Kluyveromyces lactis: one gene and its partners. The protein of the gene in region 1 interacts with the protein of each later gene in a pairwise test. Links are inferred from orthologs where the notes say so. Each region holds a gene or a part of one and is shown in the gene's direction. Other genes may lie near its edges.

Evidence for each region.
Region 2: the proteins of LSM8 (region 1) and NEL1 interact in a two-hybrid assay, tested with the Saccharomyces cerevisiae proteins (2 studies listed by BioGRID). The link is inferred for Kluyveromyces lactis from reciprocal best matches to the Saccharomyces cerevisiae genes LSM8 and NEL1.
Region 3: the proteins of LSM8 (region 1) and PRP4 interact in binary tests that used the Saccharomyces cerevisiae proteins (3 or more experiments, as listed by UniProt). The link is inferred for Kluyveromyces lactis from reciprocal best matches to the Saccharomyces cerevisiae genes LSM8 and PRP4.

The regions. Positions count from the first base shown.
Region 1 is NC_006041.1:1,466,394-1,469,972, reverse strand, and holds LSM8 (U4/U6-U5 snRNP complex subunit LSM8), read left to right. Parts: upstream 1-1,924; coding exon 1,925-2,215; downstream 2,216-3,579. Other genes in the region: TDA10 (putative ATP-dependent kinase), read left to right, coding at 14-886; methylthioribulose 1-phosphate dehydratase MDE1, read right to left, coding at 2,254-2,871; KLLA0_E16413g (uncharacterized protein), read left to right, coding at 3,108-3,428; CIR1 (Cir1p), read right to left, coding at 3,546-3,579. UniProt on the Saccharomyces cerevisiae protein: Component of the nuclear LSM2-LSM8 complex, which is involved in spliceosome assembly. The LSM2-LSM8 complex plays a role in the biogenesis of the spliceosomal U4/U6-U5 tri-snRNP complex by accelerating PRP24-mediated annealing of U4/U6 di-snRNA.
Region 2 is NC_006039.1:892,528-897,734, forward strand, and holds NEL1 (GTPase-activating protein NEL1), read left to right. Parts: upstream 1-2,494; coding exon 2,495-4,483; downstream 4,484-5,207. Other genes in the region: SUR2 (sphingosine hydroxylase), read right to left, coding at 1-532; MHR1 (mitochondrial 54S ribosomal protein mL67), read right to left, coding at 1,409-2,068; HDA2 (Hda2p), read left to right, coding at 4,829-5,207. UniProt on the Saccharomyces cerevisiae protein: Acts as a GTPase-activating protein (GAP) for SAR1.
Region 3 is NC_006041.1:426,732-431,217, forward strand, and holds PRP4 (U4/U6-U5 snRNP complex subunit PRP4), read left to right. Parts: upstream 1-1,546; coding exon 1,547-2,926; downstream 2,927-4,486. Other genes in the region: DPB2 (DNA polymerase epsilon noncatalytic subunit), read left to right, coding at 1-287; Rab geranylgeranyltransferase BET2, read right to left, coding at 365-1,339; HDA3 (Hda3p), read right to left, coding at 2,983-4,486. UniProt on the Saccharomyces cerevisiae protein: Involved in RNA splicing. Is required for the association of U4/U6 snRNP with U5 snRNP in an early step of spliceosome assembly.

The DNA.
Region 1 (3,579 bases):
GATTGCAATAGAAATGAACGTTGCAGAGTTAAGCGTGGAGTTTGTTGAACAGAAATTGGAACAACGGAAAGTTCAAGGTGACAGGAAAGGTCCTTTGTTTGTGTTGGTTTCCGGGCCACAAGGGTCTGGTAAGTCGTATAATAGTGAGATATTGTTTCGTTCGTTGAAGAAGAAGGGCGTGAGAGCAGCATTGACATCCATTGACGATTTTTATCTGACCCATGAGGACCAATTGAAGTTACAGTCAGCATTCCCAGAGAATAAATTACTACATGGAAGGGGGTTACCGGGCACTCATGACTTGAAAGCATTGCAAGAGACATTGAAAGAGCTTGCAAATGATGAAGACAAAGTGCATGATGGTAAAAAGATCCAGTTGCCCGTATATGACAAGTCTAGATTTAACGGAGAAGGAGACAGGATTGGCAGTATTGATATTGAATTGCCATTGGACTGTGTGATCATCGAGGGATGGTTCCTTGGGTTCCAAGCCATTACAGAAACAGAATTGGAAAGGAAAAATTCGTCACCTATACTGTTGAACCACCAGTTGTTACATCTGAAACAAGTGAACCGTTCGTTGAAAGAGTACGGACAATTGCTATGGAATAATGAGTCATTGGATACTGTCGGTATCAAGTTCGCAACTGACGACACCAACAATGTATATAGGTGGAGGTTACAACAAGAGCATGCTATGCTAGCATCTCAGGGCGAAGGAATGACTGATGCGCAAGTGAAGGCGTTTGTTGATAGATATATGCCTTGTTATGAACTATATTATAAAAACTTCATTGACCCGAACACCGCGTTCGGCAAAACAAATCTTACCATTGCCATCGATGCCGACAGAAATGTGGTCAATCATTTCATTTCGCACTCTTGAACTTCTTCCCAGGGGATTAATACCCTGAGTCGTTGTGTCTGGTTTTGATTTAGGTGTTGAGATTCAGGCGTAGCGATAGATTCATGTCTCAATCTTTTCTCAAGCAACGCCTGCCTCTTGCTAGCTAACCTCATATCTTCATGCAACGTCTGGATGGCATCCGTGAGGTCTTGCATTTGTTGCACGACATTGAACATGACATTTTCATTCATGGTAAATCTGTCCATCCATTCTCGATGTCGTTTATCCATCTGCTTCGTAATATTATCCGCTAAAAGTTGCAAACTTTCACCGCTTGATGCCTTTAATTGATCCAAACGAGACTTTACTTCAGAGACAATCTCCGTTCCCGTTTCTTGATTACCATCTAAATACACACAGAAATAACGGCGACTTCTCGGAGTCTCATCCGTTATTTTCCTAGTTAGTAAAAACTGACCGTAGTGACTCTTACAAAGAATCATTCCTAAAGGGTATCAATCAACGACCAATCCACGTAGATAGAACTAAGTAAATGCCCTTATACTAAGTAGATATTCCTTTCATTGTGCATAGAAACCATACCTTTTCTACTGTCAAGTTCTGCTTGGAATAACTTTCGCGAATGGCTCAATTCATCCACGTTCTCCTTGATAATCTTGAATAGACTCTCAGACGTGTCCCGCAACTGCACAGTCTCCAACTCTAGACGACTAGTCCATTCTAAGATCTGTTTGTCGGCGTCTGGAATCTTTTTAAAGGGAGAAGACCCGTAATCGGTCTCACTTTCATTCTCTTCCGCCATTTCAACCGTGATTCGGAGCTTCTAACAATATTAGCCACAACACAACTCTAGATAACTGCTGTAGAAGCCTGTATACTTCTGTTATGATGTGTGATTCTTCTTTGTTGAAGATGTTGTTGTTATTGATAATAGAGAATCTTCAAATAGAAAACATTACTTTCAAATTATAATAGTAACGAAGAAAAGATAACGATCCATCGGAGCGAAGATATCCACATAACTGCCCCCTTGTTTGCTAGAACAGTGAATGGACAATGAGTGCTCTATTGAAAGATTATTTGGACAAGAAGGTGATGTTGGTCAATGTCGATGGAGACACATACTATGGTGAAATGAAAGGGTTTGATCATGCGGGAAACATGATTCTTTTAAAGGACAGCAAGATATGCATTATACGGAGTAGTGAAGTGGTATTATGTGGGCTGATAGATGATATACCAGAAGAAAAAGAACTGGCAAAACTTCAGAAGTTCCCAGCGTGTAAGAATAAGTTACCGTTTAAAGAAGAAATAGACATTTGGAGTGAGCGATGGGCTAACAGATGAAATATAAATAATGTTATACACAGCTGCTGGTCTCCCTTTCATTGACCGAGTTCTTTCATTTTGAGAGCTACTTCAAAGAGGTAATCGATGGACTCGATGTATATCTTGGCTTTCTTTGGCGTGGGGCCCCAAACGAAGAGTCCATGTCTTTTCACCAGTACCGCACATGCATTTGGATAATCCTTAATCATTTGCTTCAACGCTGGCATGAGATCCTGTTCTTCTGGAGCGTTATCGATGATTGGAATACGTAGGGTATCAACGTTCCTCAAATTGGTACCGTCACCTTTGGGTATCGCCTTGATTTGTTCAATGTCCTTGATGGTAAACTCCTTCTCATATATCATTGAACAAAGCACCGCATTGATAGAGTGCGTGTGTATGACGCACGAGGCACCCAGCGTCTTGAATAGCTCCAGGAATAACGGTGTGCACGCAGAGGGTTTCAATCCAGGCGCACCACATTGATAAGTATCGTCCTGTATATTGTATTTAACAATTTGTTCAGGTTCCAACAGTTCTTTCTCAATGCCACTTGGTGATATGTATGCGATGTTGTCCTGTTTAATGCCGATACCACCACCTGTACCGAGCACCCATTTGTTCACGTAGAACAATTGACACATGGAACATATTGTTTCACTGGTATCGCTCATTGTGTGTCGCTACATGTGGCATTATGTGTCTAATTGAAATTAATATCAACCATAGAATGAAGTTAAATGAATGAATCAAGTTTTAAATATTGTTTGCAACAAACTGATGAACAGAGGGTACAGAGAGAGTATATCAGACGACTTCAATAGTATCATAGCAGGTTGAGTAGCCTTCGGTGAGATCAGATTGTATAGTTGGAGATTATTCGCCACCATCACCAGGCAAATCATAAGTAATGGATTCAAAGTTAAGGAAAGTGGTATTATACCATGGAGTTGAATCGTCGGAGAAATGGCCCAAGGGGAGGAAGAAGCTAACTTTGCCCAGCCTTCAGTTGCTGCCGGATACAGACACTGCTGAATTGCAGCAAGTAATACAGTTTAATAGCGATATCGAGGAATTGATACGGCAACGACAAGAGAGCAAAGAGACGTTCGATAAATGGTACCAGGAGACGTATCTTGCATCGAAACCAAAGGGACTACTCGAACATTTGGCACCAAAGAGACGAGACATGAGGAAACTTGGGACCCCTGACAAGGATAATGCAAACTGAGAAATTGTTCGTACTCTTATATTAACTTATACAACGTGTTAACATTTTATACAATAACCACATATCATTCATAATATTATATAAGTCGAATGTTTCAAATCAAGCCAGAAGTAGTGTTCAAACCAGTTTGGCTTCCTTTAGCTTTGAGACC
Region 2 (5,207 bases), on another chromosome or scaffold:
TCACCCTATGCAGCCAATACTGCCACGAATCTACGATACAAAACCCAATAAATATCCTTATCATAGACCATCCATAGCAATACATAAACTTGATGAAAACAGATGGTACGAAAAAGGGTAAAGATTGCCTCCATTTCCACATCTCATACTTCTCAAACCCTGAAGTCGGCACAGGATCCAAGTAGAGCATACCAAGTCCAGTAAATGTTTGAATGAAATGTTGTAATATCACCTCTTTTAAAACCTCTAATCTTGAGGCCTTATTCCGCTGTTGTACTTCCTCGCTTGGATGAATCCTGTACTGTTCGAAAACCTCATTGGTATCAATGTAATGGAAAAACATCGAATAAAGCCAATAAGCAACAACAGGTAGTGCTAAGGCAAGTTTCCCATCAGAAATCCAAGGCAAAATATCCTGTTTCTTCGTTATCACAGAAGCAGGTGGAGCTTTAGAATTCATAAACGACACATCCATAGCATCTTTCACCTGCAAATACAAGTGCTGCACTGCACTTTCAACAATATTTGCCATAGTTATAAAACCGATACAGCACACGCAAAATATTGTATCTCCTTATCCTCGAACTGTATCCGACAGAAAACAGCTCCTCTCAAGTATAAATGGACTTATAAGTTTTGTATGACACTGCAAATATCAGTTTGTGTATCTGATTTCGTATCTTGCTTCGTATTTTATATAGTTGCTGTCTCTCTTCAGTATGATCAAAAAAAAAGAAACAGTAACTCCAGAATAACTTTTTACCTAATCTCAAGCCTTACCCTTTCAATATTATTGCAGCCTTCTTCGCTTGGTATGCCAACATTAGCCTATACGCTTCGTATAAATACAACCACTGATCTTATAACGCAATACATTTATAACGCAATTCTGTATTCTCGACACCATGTTATGCTAGAAAAACTAAGAAAAACCCGAAGCCTCTAAGGGAAAACAGGATTGTCGTTAAAGAAACACCAGAGAAAACCAGAGAAACGGTGTTAAGGTTTCTCAAATTTGGTCATGTGACATTTTTTTTGCTTTTTCTTTGGTGTCCGGGTTCCTGCTTCTTCTTCCGTTAGGCGTTAATGCATGCATGAGACACATATGGTATGAAGCGGTAGAAAAGTAGAGGAAGTAATATGATGATTACAGAACCTTTGATATTTAGGTTACGTGATGATGGAAACAAGGGAGAAAACTGCTAGTAATCACCTTGTCAAATCAGTTAAACGCCGGTAGTGAGCTGAGGGTTTGTTTATATTATTTACAGAGTCGGATTGTCTGCGGGTTATATATGTACATGTAGTGATTTCTTAAAGACGTGACGAGTGAAGCAGTGAAAGATCTGAGCTCGGCTCAGCTTTTGCAACTGGAAATAGTTTGTATTTGCTTGTTTTCTTTTGTAACTCATAGAGAGATGTTTTGAGCAGCTGACTCCTGTTGTCTCACTCTTGCGAACTCTTCTTTGGCTCTTTCGCCTAGTTCTTTCAAAATTGCACTTTCCTCTCTGGAAACGTTCCCCAAACGTTCTAGTGTTGTGTGATTCAACTCTGGCAATACTGGGTTCCAGTATTTCTCTTTATCCCCCATTCTCCATTCGTCTTCCCAATGGACCTTAATGGACGATTGGACGTCTTTCAACTTTAGGAGACATTCTCGCAAATCGGCAACCGCTTCTTGAGAGTATGTTGGTCTGTATTGCGATGAGTACCATGTGTGGCCGGACTCATTCTTCTTTCTCATGTCTTTTGCCTGTTTACTGAATGTCACATCACGGAGATATCTTAATCTGCACAAATTCTGGTATACTTTTACACTCTTGTCGTAGTCTGGTAGATCAACAACAGCCATACATTTCCAAATATCACGTCTGGTGCTTGGTTTCTTATTCTCCCAGTTGGGTCTTTGGAAATTGGTATCAATTTGCTTCCAAGAAAAAGTCGGGAATTGAGAGTACAGCACTTGTCCACTCTCTAGGTTTCTGAATAAAAAGACTTGTGGTGCATACCCTGCTTTCTGTAGCCAGTTGGCTGGACGGAACTTGGTAATAGCTAAATGCTTGCTCATCTCTTCCTAGTGCCCTATGGTGTCTTCAAGCCTTATTTGTTAACAACAAAAGCCTTGATCCTCAGAGTTCTCTTCTATCTCCAGTGCTATTGATGGACTTCTGAAGAGTTATTTAAATACAATGTGTGCACAAATGTGGTGATCTCTTCTGTAATCAAGCTAAACTAACTATCAGCTTTCTCTTTTTCAAAATTTTTCAGCTTTTTCAGATGCCATAAACAACTTCGTAGAAACACTGAAAATTAAAGAGAATGAACCTAATATATACATTACCCGGATCTTGTGATGATATTGAATTCTCCGCTACCTGCTCTATCTTATCTTGGATCTCATCTCCAGAGAAAGGTTTTCCTATCAGCAGACACGCACAGTAGAGTTATCACCTTCATCCGTCAAGTGTCCGCATATTCCACCATCTAGAACTTGATGTTTGAATTGAATTATGGAGCCGTTCCTACGTCCCGGACAGATTGCTTAGCTAGAGTTCTCGATTGTGGAGATGATAACCGTGGATCGATAAGTGCCATTTGTGAGCCGGACTTGACAATTGACGGGAATTCAAGCCTAGCAAGCAGTGAGAATTATACCAATTGTAAAATCTGTGGAGGGTTTGCGAATTTTTTATGTTCAAGAGATTCACGAGCTGGGTGGTTTTGTTCTTTTTGTAATGCTTATAATGAACTAGGGAATATTCCATTATCATCGTCATACCTAAAACATTTAGGAACTGCTGCTGTGCCTACGCATTCCAAGTTCGCCATAATCATCGATCTTAATTGTGAATTTGAGGAAAATCTAGACGCGTTGAAGATGTTACAATTTGGTTCTGTCCAGTCATTGGCCCTGATCACGATTGAAGATGGGTCTGTCACTATTCATACTGACGGGTCACACATTACCGTAGATGCAGAATCTAGTAGTTGTATCAGCCATCTTAAGAAGCTTGACACAGAATGGTTCATTGCAAAGTATGGGCTTTTAGTGAGGAAGATTTGGACGGACCAAATATCTTTCGGTGCTAAACTCGCGGAACTTCTATGTCAACGGACTAGGTCAAAAAAAAGATGTAGAAGAAACACTGCACTCGCTATTTTTCTAGCACAATGTCTAAACCCATCACAATCCATTGCATTTGTTTTCGGACCCTGTACAGTAGCACCAGGTAAGGTTATCTCAATGGACCGAAAAAATCATATCAGGCAGCATAGAAATATAGAGGAAGACAAGGATGTGAAATATTGGAAACCTTCTAGAGAATTTTACAATAAAATGAGTAAGTCCTTAAAGTTTGCTCCATGCACGGTATTCGTCGCATCCATGGATCAGGTCGGAATATGGGAGATGAGATCCTGTTTGAACAACTTTATTCAATACGAATCCTTCAATGATAGAAATTTCATATATGATTGGCAGGCGTATATTCAAGGGAAAGGATGTTATGAAATAACCAGAATTGTTATCAAAACTTCTAACAAGCTATTACTGAATGGGATCTTTGGTCCAGTCTCATCCTTGAAAGACAAGGACACACATGTATCTGACACTCCAAAGGGCTTTGGAGGGTCTGGAACCTTCCGTTACAAAGGGCCAAGTAGTAATCTACCATCAATTTTGATAAGTTTATCTGTTGATACATCTCGCAGCGCTGCTGAAGCCTTGCAAGAAATGCCAGATAAATTTTCCTTTCAAATGGAATGCTACTATAAACACTTGAATCAAGAATACGTTTCTGTAGAAACGAAATTTATTCCCAGTACAACCTTACCAGGTGAACATCTTTTAACCCAAAATTTCCACTGGGATATAATGGCTGGATCCATAATGAAAAAAATATCTTTCGCTGTCTTGTTTCAAGGCAAGTTTTATGATTACGATCTAAGGTGGTGGACGTTAGAAATAGTAAAACTTCTTAAATCATTGAATGCCATCGATGTTCCTGGCATTAAATCCTTACAAGAAGTAACGTACTTTATGCAAAGATCAACTCTCTTAAGGAAGAGAAATACATCGCCTGACGAGTGGATCGTCTACCATTGGACAATTCTGAATTCCCCTTTAAGTCATATATTCAAGATGGTTAGACCCCAAGTGTATTCGACCACAGGGCTTATTCAAAATACAACTGACATCCTTAATTATGCCGAACCTTTATTGGTAGATGGTGGTAACGTCCTTGTGGTACGAGATACTTCAGTAGGAGATAGCAGAGTTGACAGTTTGAAGGCAGCTGCTGATACCATATACCACGATGGAAGTCGATTTCCAAAGCCTTGGTATCGAGAAACCAAGCCAGGTGCTAGTCAGGATAGATTTGTAATTGCACGACTAGGCTTAACTGCAGAACATTCTTTGCATTCTGATGACCTCACGCTTGATAAATACATGGCACTGTTTAAATCAAAAAGTACTGCATGAAAAGTATGTAATCATTCATTTTACCTCTCAACAGATATCATGAACTCTATATATATATAACCAAAACCAAAAGGTTAGAATAGTTCCCCATTTACTGTCGCAACCTTCGAATCTATCGCTCCCCCTTTGAATAACAATTGTATGGCAGGAAAAGATACTATGTACGTATTCCTTGGTTTCTCCATCTGTCGCTTTTCAAAAATGACATATTTCATTTTTTAAAAGATACTATATAATTAAATCTAACCATTCTTTCCGAATAGCACATTAAAAGCCAGAGTCCAGAGGAAAAGAAAGAGAAACTGCAAGCGCGAGCCATTGGGTCGTTTCATTAGGGAAAGAAAGATGAACTCCACTTCCAACCGGACTCAGGTATTTTATATACCTGTTGGCCTAACTCAAGTTCAGAAAGATTTGTTGGAAATTTTAATCTCGATACATGCAGAGTCGTTTGTCTCATGTGTAGATAAACGTCTACTGCCAGAACTACAATCTAAATTAGAAAAAAAAGGGACAAATCTCAAAAGAGACTTGAGTATGACTGCATTAACAGATGTTCAGTTAACTGAATGGTTCTTCGAAAATATAAGAGCTGTCTCGAATCACCCTTGCCTGTTAGTTGAGCATTATATGCCTAGACAGTTTTTGTTAATGGAACCAACTGAAAGGTTGATATACACCAGCGATAAATTTGGCAAGTTAAATCTAATGGTTGATCTTTTAT
Region 3 (4,486 bases), about 1.0 Mb from region 1:
GTGTTTTAGAATCGAGGAAATTGGTGAAAACATTGCTCGATCAACAACATCTATCTCCGTTTTCATCAAGAATTCGACCAACTGTTTGGGATCTTGATTTCACATTGCAGCTATCACCGCTTCCATCGAGTATCATGCTGTGTGACACTAGCGCACCAGCTTTCGATGTAACGTACAACGGATGCAAAACGATCAACCCCGGTAGATTTATTCACAAAAGAGCTGCCAAATATATAGAATTCTTCCCTGCTTCTAAGGTTCTAGTAGAGGAAGAGCTACCATTTTAATTTATCAATATTAAACTACTTGTGGACCTACTTTTTGCGGTCGTTAGCATTCATAATTTATTTAAGTTTCTAAGACACTAATCTGAGTACTTGCGTTGGAAATATTTCGTCACCGTATATGGCATACAGTATACTGGATCAATATCTCTTAATCCTGGATACTTCATTATACTTAATCCTCCTAGACCAAAAACCGTGTGAAATACGTCGACTTCGTTGTCTGGTCTGTCACTAATCCCTCCATTTTTGGGATCCTGACAATGCAAAATGAACTCCGTTAGCTTGGGAAAATCAATCCAATCAGCTTTTTGGAGTATTGAAAGTGTTGATAATACCCACCAGCTATAGCATACATCGGGCAGTTTGCTTGGCCTACCATTTAAGCCCCCCTCTGGAACTTGTCTTTCTGAGAGCCAAACAGCAATATTCTCCTGCTGAGCTGGAGTTAAAGAGTCTAATTTTCCGACGATTGCTAAAGCAGCAATGCAAGTAAATGCCTGAGCAGCATGAGATTCTGCTTCAGGATTTAAGCCAAATCCGCCATCGAAATTGTAACATCTAAGGATATACGAAACTGCTGGTTCTACAACTTCTTTCGTCAATTTGTGTAAAATGGACAAACAGCTCAATGCAGTATATACGAAACGTGTGTCGACTTCACCAAAACTATCACCTTGGAATGAGCCGTCTGCTTTTTGATTGGATAGGATAAATTTTTCCAATTGTTCTTGCTTCTCTGAACCCAAGCGCTCTAAAGCGTTGTAAGTAGCCAAAATCTGAAGCCCTGAAAGAGTCGTTAATAGATGACCATCATGTCTTGGAAACGCAGCAAACCCACCAGTTTTATGATCCCAACAGCTTAGGACAAACTGTATTACATCCTCCTTATTGAATGTTTCGATAGAATCAAGGAGATAGAGGGCTGTCAATCCCCAGTATACCCCATTCAACCTTAGATGTTCTGAGAGCCAGTACTCTAGATCATCTTTCTTAGTATCTAAAGACGCAATATAATCAATGTGTTTATCTCTTAACAACTGCTGTTCACTCATGATCGTTCGATCGACGCCTAGCTTCAGACCCTTTTTACTCGATGGAGTACCTCACTTGTTTTCCAACTTTTGAACTATTCATATTCAGGAATAACGATAAAGTTCATTTTATGAATATGCTTTTAAAGAAGTGAGATGATAAAGAGATGAAATCAAAAAAGTGGCACCGGTAACAACTCACCTTTGGACTATCTGCAGTAACTTCTAATGGTAGAATTAGATGATTTGCAGGTAGATGTTGACTACAAAAACCAGGATGGGCAATCAGTCGGAGATGCTCTGAAAAGATTGGAATTCCAAAGGCAAGAAAGGCTCAAAATTGTGCCTACTCTAGATACAGACGTTAGACGAGCACTAGAGCTAGTGGGAGAGCCCGTTGATATCGCTGGCGAAGATAATTATTCTCGCAGAGATCGACTTTCTGATCTTATTCTTAGCGATCCAAAAGCCAGAGAACGAGTTACAAGGTTAGTAGAGTCAACTTCCAAAGACCAGACGAAAATCGATACTGAAAGAAGTAAAGTAGATGATGAAGACGAGGAGTTCTACACTCCAGCATCACAGCAGTTGATAGAAATGAGGAAGTTTCTTATAATATACTCTATGCAACGCTCTAAGCTGAGGCTTGAGGAGGAGAGACGAAGACTTGTCAGCCAAAATGTGAAAAACGTCATAAGTAAGCGAAGGGACCTGGAAAGTAAATTGAAACAGTTCTCTTTGAAGGGAATGCAGGTGATAGATGAGAAACCTATTTCTGAAATTAATACTTCTCCTGGTGGAGACCTGATGGCTTGTGGCAGTTGGTCCGGAAATTTGTCTCTGGTCGATAATTCGTTGTCCAAAATCTACTGCAATAGATCTTTATCTGGCACAAAGATTAGTGGATTGGATTGGAGCGTGGACTCTAAAAACATTTTTGTCTGTACCCATGATGGACGCATTGTAATATATGATAGTGGTGATGAAACCACAGTTAAGATCTTGTATAAAAATGATGCCAGGTTTGCCCAAGTACGATGCCATCCATGTAATAGTTTTATTGGAAGTACGTCTTTTGACAAAACATGGATCCTGATAGATACTGTGAAACAAGCCCCTATTTTGATTCAGGAAGGTCATTCTGCGGAGGTTTTCTCACTATCTTTTCACAATGATGGCTCATTGGTGAGTACAGCTGGTTTGGATGCAATTGCATTAATATGGGACATACGGTCCGGTAAAAATATCATGTCATTACAGGGACACTCAAAACCTATTTATTCCGTTGACTGGTCCCAAAATGGATATCAGCTTGCGTCTGGTAGTGGTGACGGGACTATAAAGGTTTGGGATATTAGGAAAAAGGGAAATGTGGAAACGATCTTAGCTCACAATAGCATTGTTTCACAAGTCAAATTCAATAAGCAAAACGGAGGATATTTAGTGTCGAGTGGATATGACAAGAAAGTAAATATCTTCAATGATGGGAACTGGATAAAGGAACGAAGCCTTGAAGGGCATCTTGATAAGGTTATGTCAATTGATATTGTAGGTCCTGATATATATAGCGCGGGTTGGGACCGCTCAGTTAACAAATGGGGAGTCTAATTAATTCTACGCAAATTTGTAAAAACGTTAATCATTATGGATGTTAAAATTACGTATCATTTCTTCGATCGGCCATTAGTCGCCTGTCTTCCTCTGCTGGGTTGAATTTTCGATAGTCTATCAGTTATATATCCAAGTTTAGAATGAAGCCCTCCAAGATTTTGCCCTTCCTGTTGTAGTTGTGATTTCAAGAGATCTATTCTCTGTTCAGCACTGGCAACCTTCTTTTTATTTTCGGCTACACTGTCCTCTATTTTCGTTTTCAAGAGCTTGATTTCTTCTCTTAATTTATCTTGTTCTTTGTTGCTTTCATCAACAGATTGAGCGGCTCTTTCTATCTCCTTTTGCATGTATGTTCTCTCAGAAGATTTAGACTCCGAATTTCGTTTTTCTCTCTCGCGGGCATCTTGCAAGTTTGAAATTTCTTCTAGTAAACCCTTCAAAACCTTATGTGGTTCGCTTTTAGACCCTAATTTTGTCATTAAATCATTAATTTCTGAATCTATGAATTCAATCTGTTTGTGCTTCTTTTCTGATTCCTCAAGGAAATCTTTTACCTTAACGTCATCATCTTTTAGCTTCTTTTCGGATTCTTCAAGCTTTTCCTTAATATCATTATAATCCTTATTGACCTTGTTGAAATGATGATTTTGAATAGATTCCATTCTTTCAAAATCATCTAATTCCAACTTTTGTCTCTGATTCATAGCGTAGATATTTTCAATGGACTGGATCATTTTATGAGTCAGGATATCAGTGGCTAAATGATAATCAATTTCGCCGTTTTGCCGGCCAGATGCTGATACCCATGTAAGAACTGCCATATCTTGTTTTAATGGATTGGTGGAATAGTCGTTTTTAACTCTTTTAGATTTATAATACAATAAGGAAGACCTTTCTTTCGAATGGCCCCTATTCCTGCGCTTTCTGTCATTGATGAACTGTTCTTTTAAATCATTACCTGTCTGGCTATAAGTTACTTCTGTCAATAACGATTTTTCAACATCTATTGCAGTATAAATGCTGATCGGATAAACATCTGGCAAAGGCCATGCCATGTTTGGATCATTCAACCAACTAGAGAGATACTTCAAATTTTGGGAGTATATCGGCCTGAGATCTGGAGGCAATGTCCCTACTATGTCTCTGAGCACCACCACGGCAGCTGCAACGTTGACAAGGTATTCTCTTGAATCCTTTTTGAAATGTTTTCCGAAATACAGTTCACAATGGTCGATGGAGTTGATAGTAGTTAATCTGATCGCTGGAGCATTGCTATCTGCTCCTCTCTTGGGTCTATTCTGCTGACGAATTTTTTGTATTACCAGATCTTCTGGATTACACGTAGGATCTAAGCATACTACCATATCGACACGAATATCTTTTGGGAAAGAAGACTCTATTTGTTTAATATTATCCGAGCAAATGAGATGGCAAGTACATGAGAAATTTTTTGGCTTATTCTTTGTCTTTATAGTTTGGCCATCATGTCTAACAATATTCACCTTATTACCAAGTAGGAGAGCCTCTAAGAGATCCATAGTTCTGTCGGACCTTGCC